Linked DNA regions of Drosophila melanogaster. The protein of the gene in region 1 interacts with the protein of each later gene in a biochemical or structural test. Each region holds a gene or a part of one and is shown on either strand. Other genes may lie near its edges.

The links. The genes of interacting proteins can lie anywhere in the genome.
Region 2: of the proteins of Dhit (region 1) and Galphao, one has a biochemical effect on the other in vitro, tested with the Drosophila melanogaster proteins (one study listed by BioGRID).

Annotation. Positions count from the first base shown.
Region 1 is NT_033778.4:17,790,918-17,798,660, forward strand, and holds Dhit (double hit), read left to right. Parts: upstream 1-1,952; 5' UTR 1,953-3,633; intron 3,634-4,201; 5' UTR 4,202-4,209; coding exon 4,210-4,511; intron 4,512-4,678; coding exon 4,679-4,687; intron 4,688-4,968; exon of another isoform or gene 4,969-6,136; coding exon 6,137-6,214; exon of another isoform or gene 6,215-6,284; coding exon 6,285-6,346; exon of another isoform or gene 6,347-6,410; coding exon 6,411-6,699; exon of another isoform or gene 6,700-6,767; coding exon 6,768-6,852; 3' UTR 6,853-7,211; downstream 7,212-7,743. Other genes in the region: CG5033 (uncharacterized protein), read left to right, coding at 1-316, 380-867, 928-1,223, 1,287-1,440.
Region 2 is NT_033778.4:10,436,448-10,440,987, forward strand, and holds the start of Galphao (G protein alpha subunit o), read left to right. Parts: upstream 1-1,537; 5' UTR 1,538-1,659; intron 1,660-1,800; exon of another isoform or gene 1,801-1,904; intron 1,905-2,023; exon of another isoform or gene 2,024-2,045; intron 2,046-2,158; exon of another isoform or gene 2,159-2,290; intron 2,291-2,923; exon of another isoform or gene 2,924-2,927; 5' UTR 2,928-2,998; exon of another isoform or gene 2,999-3,066; coding exon of another isoform or gene 3,067-3,184; intron 3,185-4,540. Other genes in the region: CG12895 (uncharacterized protein), read right to left, coding at 302-572, 635-816, 873-890. UniProt on the Drosophila melanogaster protein: Guanine nucleotide-binding proteins (G proteins) are involved as modulators or transducers in various transmembrane signaling systems.

The sequences.
Region 1 (7,743 bases):
GAGCCACACAAGCGCAAGCTGCACTTCATGCCACAGAAGTTCAAGTCGCTGAGGGAGGTGCCCGCATACTCGAGATACCTTCGGGAGCGTTTCCTTCGTTGCCTGGATCTTTACCTGTGTCCCCGTGCAAAGCGTGTCAAGCTGAACATCGATGCCGAGTACCTTATCCCCAAGTTGCCCTCGCCGCGTGACCTGCAACCCTTTCCCACGGTGGAGAGTATGGTTTACCGTGGCCACACCGATCTGGTGCGGTCTGTTAGTGTGGAGCCCAAGGGAGAGTACCTCGTCTCCGGTTCGGATGATAAAACCGTCAAGAGTAAGTACTAATTTAATTGACAACCTTTTAGATATCTTCTTACTAATCCATCTCACCTCACAGTTTGGGAAATTGCAACAGGTCGTTGCATTCGCACAATCGAGACCGACGAAGTGGTACGCTGTGTGGCTTGGTGTCCAAATCCCAAGCTGTCTATTATTGCGGTGGCCACTGGCAATCGCTTGCTGCTCGTCAATCCTAAAGTGGGCGATAAGGTGCTGGTGAAGAAGACCGACGATCTCTTGGCTGAGGCGCCCAGTCAGGATGTCATTGAAAGTGAACGCATCAAGACGGCGGTGCAATGGTCAAATGCGGAAGCTGATGAGCAGGAGAAGGGCGTCCGCGTAGTGATTACCCACTTCAAACCCATCCGACAGGTGACCTGGCACGGTCGTGGTGACTACTTGGCCACAGTGATGCCCGAAGGTGCTAACCGCTCGGCTTTAATTCATCAGTTGTCCAAGCGGCGCTCACAGATTCCATTCTCCAAGAGCAAGGGTCTCATCCAATTCGTGCTCTTCCATCCGGTGAAGCCCTGCTTCTTTGTGGCGGTAAGTGGGTTAATTTTCTTTTGTTAGTATGTCTTATTGAATTCTGTTTTTTCTTTACAGACGCAACACAACATTCGCATTTATGATCTGGTCAAACAAGAGCTTGTCAAGAAGCTGCTGACCAACTCCAAATGGATATCGGGCATGTCTATTCATCCCAAGGGCGACAATCTGCTGGTGTCCACCTATGACAAAAAGATGCTCTGGTTCGATTTGGATCTGTCCACAAAGCCCTACCAGACCATGCGACTCCATCGCAATGCAGTTCGCAGTGTTGCTTTCCATCTTCGATATCCGCTCTTTGCTTCCGGCAGCGATGACCAGGCTGTGATCGTCTCCCATGGCATGGTCTATAAGTAAGTGGCTATAAATCAACATTGCCCAAGGTTAATTACGAATTTCTCCAAACTTTTTTTTAGTGACCTGCTGCAAAACCCTTTGATTGTGCCTCTCAAGAAGCTGCAAACACACGAGAAACGCGATGAGTTTGGTGTGCTGGATGTTAACTGGCATCCGGTGCAGCCATGGGTCTTCTCCACGGGCGCGGACAGTACCATCCGACTATACACGTAATTTAGGTGTACAAACCCCAAGAAAGTTTCTTTTAGTTTCCGAAAGTTTTGTGAAATTTCAATAGTAAATAAAAAATATATTAATTTTTATGAAAAGTAAAGTATTTCATATAACCATTTCATTCGAACATTTTAAAAACAACGGTTTTCGAAATCAACGGGATCCCAAAATCAAAATGTAAGTGCAACCCTGCCGAAAGTTTATAAGTTCTGGCCCCAAAGCTTTGCGGTAAATTCCAGTGGGGCGAAGAGTCCCGAGCTTTATTCTCTTTTTCCGACTCGCGCACATGTCTTACCGTCCGTTCTCTCGCGCTCTCCGCCTGTCAGTCCCTCTCCTGTGTGTACCAGGAATTCTAACTGTATAGCAATTCCACAAAGCTTTTCGCTCAGTCCACCTATGGAGCCCTCCCCCGGCTGCCCACTTTCCACTCGCCGTTATCTTGCGTTCCTCGGGAGGAGCGCGCGCATTGGAAAATCAAAATCAAGAGCTGGCGACACGGCACTGCTTGGAAATCAGTCGCCTGCCTTTGCCCGAGCGGAGAGAATCTCGAAACGCTCGAATCGACCCGTCGAGGATTTTGGCTTCAGCTTCTGGGTGCTGCTGGTGCTGAGCAGCCAAAATCGCAGAGCGCAGAAATCGAATGGGAATTGGCTGCCATTGCGGGGGCACCGAGCACGAAGGAATATAATAAAATATGGCCGAGGGCGAAATGTGAAAATGTGAAAATGCCAGTCCAGGCAGTCCAGTGACCACGAAAATTGCAGTTTCCCCCAATTCGTATTCATACACACACACACATTCTCAACAGTCAACGAAAAAAATCGTAAAGAAATTCACAAAAAAAAAATCGAAGCACAAGCAAAACAATTTCGGGGCGAAAAAGAAAAATATATACAAATATACACATTTCGATTCCGATTCTAGTGGCAAAAATTCGTATGTACTCGTCGCTGCTCCTCAAAAACATACATACATACAAACGCGACCCCCTTTTCCCGCCCACCCATTCGCCCAAAAATCCTCAAAGAAAATATAAACGTGTGTGTGGTGTTTGAGTGAAAATCTGAACGGAAGCGCTGGTTCAACAACAAGAAAATAAAACAAAATATACATATAATATACATAGATAGCCAGGCTAAAGGCAATGGTCAACAAAAGAACCCAAGCAGCTGATTTGTGATAAGTGCAACGACCAAAAATCGCTGGCGTTTCGAGTTACAAACAAGTGCAATTAGCTGCTGATGCCTACATGTTGCAGCTGTTGCAGCAACATCAGCACAAGTGGAGAAAATCACGCATACGCCCCATCCGCCCAACGGGCCAAACAATGCGCTCCACTTAGCCAAGTTGCGTGTCAATGTGGTGGTACTCCAGCCCACCCCCTCCTCACGCACACACGCACAGACGCACGCACACAACGGCGCCTACATATATATGTACATATACAATGGCAGTGTAATGACTAGCACAAGAAATAAATAAAGGCCAGAACAACAACTACGGTGGCAGCTCCAGCTGCTCATAAATTTCGTAACGCTTGTGAAATGTGCCCCTTGGTGCACGGGGCCATTGAATCGCTAGATTTTCGCCCGTAAATCCGGAGCGGAATATGTAAATGCCACCCGCGCACCGTCAACTCTCTAAAGAAACGCTAGACCCCCTAGAAAAAAAAACGGAAACCAAACCCACGCGAAGGTTTGAAGTCAGGAACCTACGATAAGGATAACTACTACTCGAAAAGGTTATCGAAAAAATCTTGAAGAATTTCTGGAATTTTTCGGCTTGTAAAATCGCCCAAGGAAAAGCTAAGGAGAAGGAAAAAAAACATAAAACAAAACGAAAACTAAAATCAAGAGCAGCAGCTGTGGGCAGAGCGAGAAAGAGAGGACAGAGCGCCACAGGGAGAGAGAGAGAGAGAGAGAGAGTGTGTGGGAACTTTCGATAAAAAATTATTAGCAAAAACATAAATACGTAACGGTCTCCCTGCATACCCCACATCCCCAAGGAAGCCGAGAAAGAGAAGCCGAAGCAAAGAAAAGAGCACCAAAGCGAGCGGGTGAGTGGGTAGGTCAGTGGCAGTGGGCGGTCCGCCAGCTGGGGCAGCACCACCTCACCACCCAACACCCATCACCATCTCCACCTCCACCATCTCCGTCAGCTCCGCCAGCGTCAACCTCAACTTTCAAAGGGCAGGTAAGTGCACACGGAAAACGAGGCGAATCGGGAGCAGTTGGACCTACTCCTCCAGATTACACTTTCCCGAATATGTATTTATTATATTTTGATAGTTTTGGTAAATTAAATATACAAACAATCAATGTTTTAATAATTCAACAGTTTTCTTTACTATTTAATCTTTAATTTCATATAAAGTTTCTTTGTGATAAATGCAAAGAACAAATATTACAATTTTATTTAAAAGGTGTTTTGACTAGATTCAAATAACATATTTATGAATATAATGTTTATAATATAAATATAATATTTATAATAATATTTATAATATAATGAATCAGTTTCAGTATCTTTTGAATGACATCTTGTCAAATTAATGGGATCCAAACCAAAAAGACAAACACTCACCAGCCAAGACAATTAAGTAGTTAAGTTCCGGGCACCTTGGTTAACAATTCTTTCTAGATGACTAATAGAGCTATTTTTTGCAGTGTGACTGTGATTCGCCCAACTGTCAGCACACTTTCCCCCCACTCCATCCCGTGCACAGTGTTCATTAACGTTTCAATTTGTTCCTTTATTGCAGGTAGCGGCATGTCCTGCACCGTTTCCGAGCTGCCCAGTGGCTGTCGATTGCGCGGCATGACTGCATCCTCACAGCAAAGTGCCGCCAACAATAGTGGCAACAATGGGAATGGCAATGGGAACGGTGGCGGCGGGGGCGTCGTCGGAGGTGGCGGCAGCCTGGGCGGAGTATCGCCCACCGTGGGCGGCAGCGTGGGAATCCTCGGCTCCACGTCCAACGTGCTGCAGGAGTCGAACGCGACCACGTTTCAGCGTCCGCAGTCGCAGAAGCCTTGCTGCTTCTGCTGGTGCTGCTGCTGCTCCTGCTCCTGGTGAGTATGGAGGCCACCACCGAGTGGCCTATTTGTGCACCGCTCGAATCCTCTGACACGAAATCAATTTCTTTCTCGTTACCGCGCTGCCTTGACTCAACCGTTCGGTCATTAAAACAACTACCTGTGCCAATACCCATCCACTGCCAACCACATCCTGACAACAGGGCCAAATGGTAAGCACCTCCTGAAACACTCATGCATTCATACACCGAGAGAATCGATTGGTATTATTGGACTGTAAAGTATAGAATATTAAATGCGCAATTATTTTAAATACGTAATTATTTTACCTAGTTAGCTTTATTTTCAAGATATACTATAACAGATGAACCAATCTTTGGTTACATTAACATCGTTATTGTTAATTAATTTATTTATTTTTACTTATTTCAATATCAATTTTTTGCAAATTTTTTATTTTTTTATTTTATAAATCATTTCATTTTAAAGGTTGTCTGTTTGAGCCCTTTTTTTAAGAGAGTCGAAATATTATTAGTCCATGTTTCTCGCAGTGCTGTCATGGATGTGGCCACGGTTACAGCTATGGTTATTGCTTTGGCTTTAACTATTGCTTGGCTTTGGCTTTGGCTTCGGCTATGGCTGTGCCCACTGACATGGATATGGATATGGATATGGATAGGGAAGTTGAAATGGAAATGGACACGGTAAAGGTGGCCTTCTGCTGGCAGCTGGCAACGCTGCTGAACATCCAAAAGCTCTTTCTCTCTCCGCCATGCGAACTTTCTCCGCTTTCTCTCTTACGAAACGCTCTTTAGCACTGGTGCCGCTCTCTCAGTTTCTCCCGCATTCATTCACAATTCCGTGAGCAAGGCGACGGGCAGCGAAAAGCTCTCTGGAGGGCACTTTTCAAATCAAATATAAATAAGTATGTGGCGGCTCCTCCGCGGACTCCTCCAAGTGTTGCATGTTTTCGTGAATGAAAACGAAAGTCTTTTGCGACCCGCCGCCAACTCGCAACCCCCCGTCCGCACCTTTGTGTGCACAACTTGGGGGTATATCGCCCCGAAAACCCAGTTCAGAGCACCCGATGTCGCCTCAAACCCCCCCTGGCCGCATCTAATTTGATTCATATATGTATAGGGGTATATGTACGCCTGTGTGACTTTGATTAGGTATTGGGCCAGCGAGTCGCTCTGATAACTGTCGTCCAGATAAGAGAGCTTTATGTCAAGTTCGAGTACTCCGTTGCTCTGTCTCCGGGCTTCGAAACCCAAAACCGATATGCCATTAGCCTATCTACAGTGTTTATTCGAGGCATTATATCTTTATATCGCGTTCAGATATATGAGTAACTTTTAAACTCTCTAGCTTAAAATGTGGTAGAATCGCTTATGTTCAGTTTCTATGTTTGGTGCAAGTGTTTTATAAAATGCTAATCAGTAGCTTGCGCTATCTAAAAGTTTACGTTATCGAGCGGCTACTGTACTTACATATTTATGCTATTTTGTGCCAGTTAAAAATGAGTCAGGCTGAGCGCCAATTCAGCGATGAATAAAATTGTAGTATACTTTAAAGGGTGATTGATGAGTTGTAAAATCAAAATAATCGACTTTTAACAAGCAAACCCCCCTTGTTTTTTCCCTTTTTTCTTATCTTTACAGTCTGGCCATCAAGAATGCCGATGAAAATGCCCCCACGAAGCGAGATCTGGTAAATGCCGAATTCTTGGATGGCGAGCAGTGAGTTTGAGCACCAATCAACTTAATAAACTTAAGCCACGGAAAAACTACATTTATTTGTACATTACAGACCCACACTGGAGGAAATCCGCAGCTGGGGCAAAAGCTTTGACAAGCTGATGAAAAGTACAGGTAAGCCATTGACAATTGCCACCTTGATCCAAACTAATTGGTGGTTGGCCGAATATTTTCCCAGCTGGTCGAAAGGTGTTCCAGAACTTCCTGCGCAGCGAATTCAGTGAGGAGAACATCCTATTCTGGCTGGCCTGCGAGGATCTCAAGAAGGAGAATAGCCCAGAGTTGGTGGAGGAGAAGGCGCGCCTCATCTACGAGGACTACATCTCGATCCTGTCGCCCAGGGAGGTGTCGCTGGACTCCAGGGTCCGCGAGATTGTCAACCGGAACATGATCGAGCCCACGACGCACACCTTCGACGAAGCTCAAATCCAGATCTACACACTGATGCACAGAGACTCATATCCGAGGTGAGTGCTCTTTAGGCAAAAATAAAAGATACTGTATTTATACTTAAACGGGGTATCTTTTTCAACAGATTCCTAAACTCTCAAAAGTTCAAGACACTAGCTCAACTGCAAGACAACTCGAATGCCGGTTCCAAAGCGGATAGTCCAACTTAGAGAGGATGGCTTGATGTCCCGGATCGGATTTGGATTTGGATTTGGATCGAATTCAGTTGCGCTGTGTTGACTTCCGCTGTTGCTCTCCACTGGTATATCTCTGATTTTCCGCCCCAATCGCTGCTGCAATCGACTAAGCAATATGTATCCATTAGTAGAACCATTTAACCATTTTGCGAGCAGCCACGAAATCAGGATCCTGGTTGGGGCCGGTGAATCAGACGTCGTGCGTTCAATGTGAATCGGATTCCTTTCTCTTCCTACGTTCTAGTCGTTAGCTAACCAAAGAGTTAGGTATTACAAAATATGTTTTCACTAAGAAGCAGGTTCGACCACAGAAAGCATTTTCCAAAACAACCAAAAAAAAACAAAAAAACAGAAAGAAAAACAACAAGAAAAAAATACCCAGAAAGCTAATACGAAACGAGCGACACAAATAGCATCCATTGTAATACTAGTGATCTAAGAGACGTATTAATCAAATTGAAACCAAGATTACGGAACCCGCTAACTGATAAGTATGTTTAAACGTAATCATAAACCGCAACGTAACAGAAATACTTTTTCCAAAAAAACATTACAAAAAAAAGAAGGAAAGAAACCAAAAAATCTTTTTAAACGTATTACATACATAAACTTTATAAACTTATATATACAACACACCAGCATATATATATATATATATATATATAGTAAAATTGTTGTTTTATTTATGAGTCGAACTAATGTCCCGTCAGTTGACTAAGGACAACGCCAAGAAATAAAAAATAGTTTTTAGGAGAAATAGTTTCACGACTTTATTCTTTGGATCTCAGCTTAAGACTAAAAATCAAATGCAAATTGGATTGAGGAGAAGCCTCAGTATTTGAACAATATTTGTATTTCGGGAGA
Region 2 (4,540 bases), 7.4 Mb from region 1:
ATTAAATATATGCCATTCTGACAATGTGTTCAGTTTTATATATTAAAATTGTATCTTTTCAAATGTCATGATTTGTTGATTAAGCTGAAGTTTTCAACAAATAAAAATAAAAATGAAAGCACATTCAAATTACCAAATCACTTGCAACCGTATTATTTATTATTCCGTATAAATGATCGTTTTTAAATACCAGGTAAAATGCAAGTTCAAGTCATTGGTCTTTTAAGGATCAGGAGTAGAATAACACATTCATTTAATACATTGTTTTGTATGCTTATATATATAATATAGTTTATAATGTTCACAAATCCGGCTGCCTTATCCTTTGCACTTTTTCATGATTTTTGACGTGCTCCTTTAGCAGACGCATTATTTCGGTATCGAATTGAGGAGGTGTTGGCTTGGTATCGGTGGCCCAGTAGAATATATCCCAGTCGTTGCTGACACCATTGATCAACTGATCGTACTCGGCGGTCTGCTCGGCATTGAAGTCCTTCAAATGCTTGGCCACAAAAGTGCTCAGCAAGAGATCGTTTTCCAGCATTCCGCGTTTCCTGCTTTGATACAAAAGGCTGCACAAGATAATGAATGATCATAAGTAGGAGTTTGGGATATTTTCATTTTAAGCGTATACCGCTGCTTGCGAGTTTCCAGCGGCTCATCGGGACGGACAGGATATTCCGGAACTGGCAAATGCGGCGGATCATCGTAGTCCACAATTTCCCCGGGTGTTGTGTACTCAGTTTTGTCCAAATTGCTGGCGAGGCGACTTTGGGCCATCATAGGTAGTTGCAGGCGACGGCCTACCGTAGATACCTGTGTCCAATTAAGCAATCAATTATATTTTACTACATTTGGGGCCATAAACTTACTATAAATTGCCGCAACATTTTAGGAAACGACCAAAACAATGATATAACGACAGTGTTGGCTAAGAAAGTTAAGTATAATCGATAGATTCCTGCTATAATAATCGGCTGTTGCTATAAATAGTGCTGGAAAGTGCACACTTTGTTGAATTAATCATTTATTTTATTTAACCGTTCAAACCTCAGGCGAATTTAAATTAAAATAGTTGTTTTATTTTAAATATGAATATATTTGGGAGAATATGCACTGCAATTGTTATGAAAGGTATGCGAATTTTTAATAATTATTTGCAATAATATAAATAAAAAATATATCTCTATTTGTATCACTTAAAGCTCAAATATTGTATTCATGAGATCCTTTTGAGTGGCCTGCTATTTAAAATCCAGATAAGTTTCAAAACATAATAAAAAAATAAATGTCTGTACATACAAAGTGATGCAAAATATTTATTGAAACTAAAGTGAGCATGTTCTTTCATATTTATATAAAACATTTTATTAAATTATATGTATATAAATAGCGGAAGATTTTAACAAATTTAAATTTTTAAATATAAGCTTGTTTTGCAGCAGCTGTTGTTGCGGCCAGTGCTGGTCAACAGCCACCCCCGCCGCGTCCAGTGCTGCGCACCGACGCCGCCAACAGCTGTTCGAACGCCTCGCTCTGCAGTTGGAAAGAGCGAACGAAGCGAGAGAGAGCAGCTAAATTTTCGCACACCAGAAAAGTGCAATTTACCAATATCACTGCGGCCAAAAATACAAGTGCAAGTGCTCGGCAAGTGCAACGGTAAACTATCACGATCGGTGCAATAAATACAGCGAGTCGCGAAAAAGAAGCGCAAAGCGAACGGAACCAATAAGAACAGCCAAACGCAAAAGAGAGCCTCCTGCACACACACGCACACAGCAGGCTGAAGCAGACCCACACACACGCATACACTAGTGCGGTGTGTATACGACTGGAAAACTAGGCGGTGGTAAATGTGAAGCTGAAAAAAGCTGAAAAAAAGGAAAAGGAAAACTCGTGGGGTGGTGGGTGGCGGCCCAGTGGGCGGGGGGTGTGGCGTGTGCAGCGCGTGAGAGTGCGTAGTGCGTGCGTGTGAGTGAGTGAGTGTGTGCGCGCGTGTGAGTGAAACAGCGACAAACTAAATGAAAATTTATACATCCGAAATGGTTAACAGTTTGCATAAAAACGGCATTACTTTTTGCATATGTTAATGTGCTTAGGCAAACGCTCGAAAAAGAAAACTCCACAACCCACCGCCTTTTTTTCCACCAACCCGGCGCTTTTTTAGCGCCTACGCCCACGCTTAATACATACACACTGCATAAAAAACATACAAATAAAACCAAAAAAAAAAAAAAACAAACAAAATTTATAAAAGTTTTATTAAAAGTGTGACAACAAAAAATAAGTGGTATCCAAAAAATAAGCTTGAGTTTTTGGCTCTTTGACCTCGAGACTAATTCACTTACATGATAAATTACCATCGTTCTTATCGCGATCCAGCATTATCTGATGGATTTATCTTATCAGCGCGATTGATGAATTTTGTATCGATATCGCAAACATGCTCCATATGCAAATTAGCTGGCTATCATTGCTTTTATTTTTACTTTGCGTCTGCTGATAAAAAACAAAAGCAACATAATTGATACAGTGCGCGGCCCATTGCACAGACAGTGGCGGTCATAAAATTAGTGCTTGTCTCAGTACAGTACAACATCCATAGAGCGAACGATGTGTTCCATAAACCTTGTAACATCAGTTTAAAATAATCTTTTTAACTATTACATACAAATTAATATACAGCTGTGTTTCTCATAATAGTTGAGTAACAGAAAGAATATTACAATTACAATTACAATTTGTGTTTATACACAGCAGACAAAATTAATTTAAGATAACTCAACATTATTATTTTGAACTCGGCTGTATATTTAACACATCCTTGATATTCATTGGTTCGCCTTATCGATCGCGCACTGTTTATAGTGAATCATCCGCTGACCCGTGTATTTGTTATTGTTGATGGGTTCAATACTCCATTTCAGTTGAAATCGTTAAACTGTACATAAGCAAATAAGACATAAAGAAAAAAGTCCAGGAAAATTGGAAAACAAAAGCCCGAAAACCGAAAAGCCCCGTGTAAATCCGAATCCGAATCCAAATCAGTATCCAAACCCAACCACAATGGGCTGCACCACATCCGCCGAAGAACGCGCCGCCATCCAGCGATCCAAACAGATCGAGAAGAATCTAAAGGAGGATGGAATCCAGGCGGCCAAGGACATCAAGCTCCTGCTGCTGGGTAAGTGCACTTTTCGTCGCTTTTTCTCGTTTTTCCACTTGGGTTTTTCTCACCGGAAATGGAAATCCTGCTCAGCGTTTACCTTTCCACTCGACTCGACTCTATTGTTCGTTCTATTTTGGTGGAAATTGCTGGTTTATCTATCGGCCGCCAGATTCCGGGGCACTTGGAAAATTTTATTTTCGGTTTTATGTGCCGATAGATAGGGGGATATTTATTGCACACACTTTTACTCTGCGGCGGAAATGCTGGATGTACTGGACGCAATTTTGGATTAGCTGCTCTTCAATTTCCATCAAGGCTTATATCAGAGTTCACATTTTTTAGAAGATTCAAAGACTGGAATAAAAGTAAATTCAAAAACTATGATTTTTGTATGTACTGACTGGTTATTTAAATTAAATGTAATGACTTGTTGCCCCACAAAAGGAATCGAACTCAAGGTTATTCCACTCTATTTGAGTGCTGATGAATCGATTCCATGACAAAACTATTTTTAGCGTGTTTTTTTTGGCCAAGGCGAAACCGAAGTAATTTGGGTCAACTTTTGGGTGTTGCATGTGGCATGGATATCCGAAAATAAAATGGACTCATGCACCACTGTGCATGCAACATCTTAGACAATGGCAGCAGCAACAGTTGCATCCGCCCTCGTGGCAGGCGAGTGTGAAAACCTAAACAGTTTCGAGGAGCCATGTGGCCTGCGGATGACTCGGTCCGATTAAAGTGGTTTCAGTACCAAACAGTTCGATAGTGATGAAATAATTACAATGTTTTTAAAAAATATATAAAATAATGACTAGAATTAGCCAAATCTAAGAAAACAGTGCAAATTATCTGAACATAGCTTAAGAATTTAAAGATGCTAAAAAATCATCATGTAGATATTGTCTTTGCTGTCATCTCTATCCTGCATCAGCCTGAATCTCATCGTCGAGTGCATCTGTGAGCTGCAGCTGCAGCCTTAGCCTTAGCCTTAGATTTTGTCCAAGTGCGTCTGCATCCGCCAAAAGATGAGGGCAATCGACGCCACTTGACATTGAAACAATTGCACGTGTGTGCCAGTGGGCGGGTGTGCACCATGTAGCATGGTTTCGAGGTGCAGTGTTTGTTAACCTGGTTGCGCCACTGACACCGAAATGTCAGTTAATCCCATTGACTTTGACTTGCCCCCGAAAACGAGATAGGGATGCAGTCAGGCAGAAAAAGGACAAAGCTGCAATATGCACGGGAATTTCTCTTTCACTTTAACATTGTACACAAACATGTTGCGAAAAACAAGCAAAATCTCCATATCGTGGATGCACTTAAAGCAGCATTCAAACAAACCAAAAGTTAAAGATATAAAGTTTACAA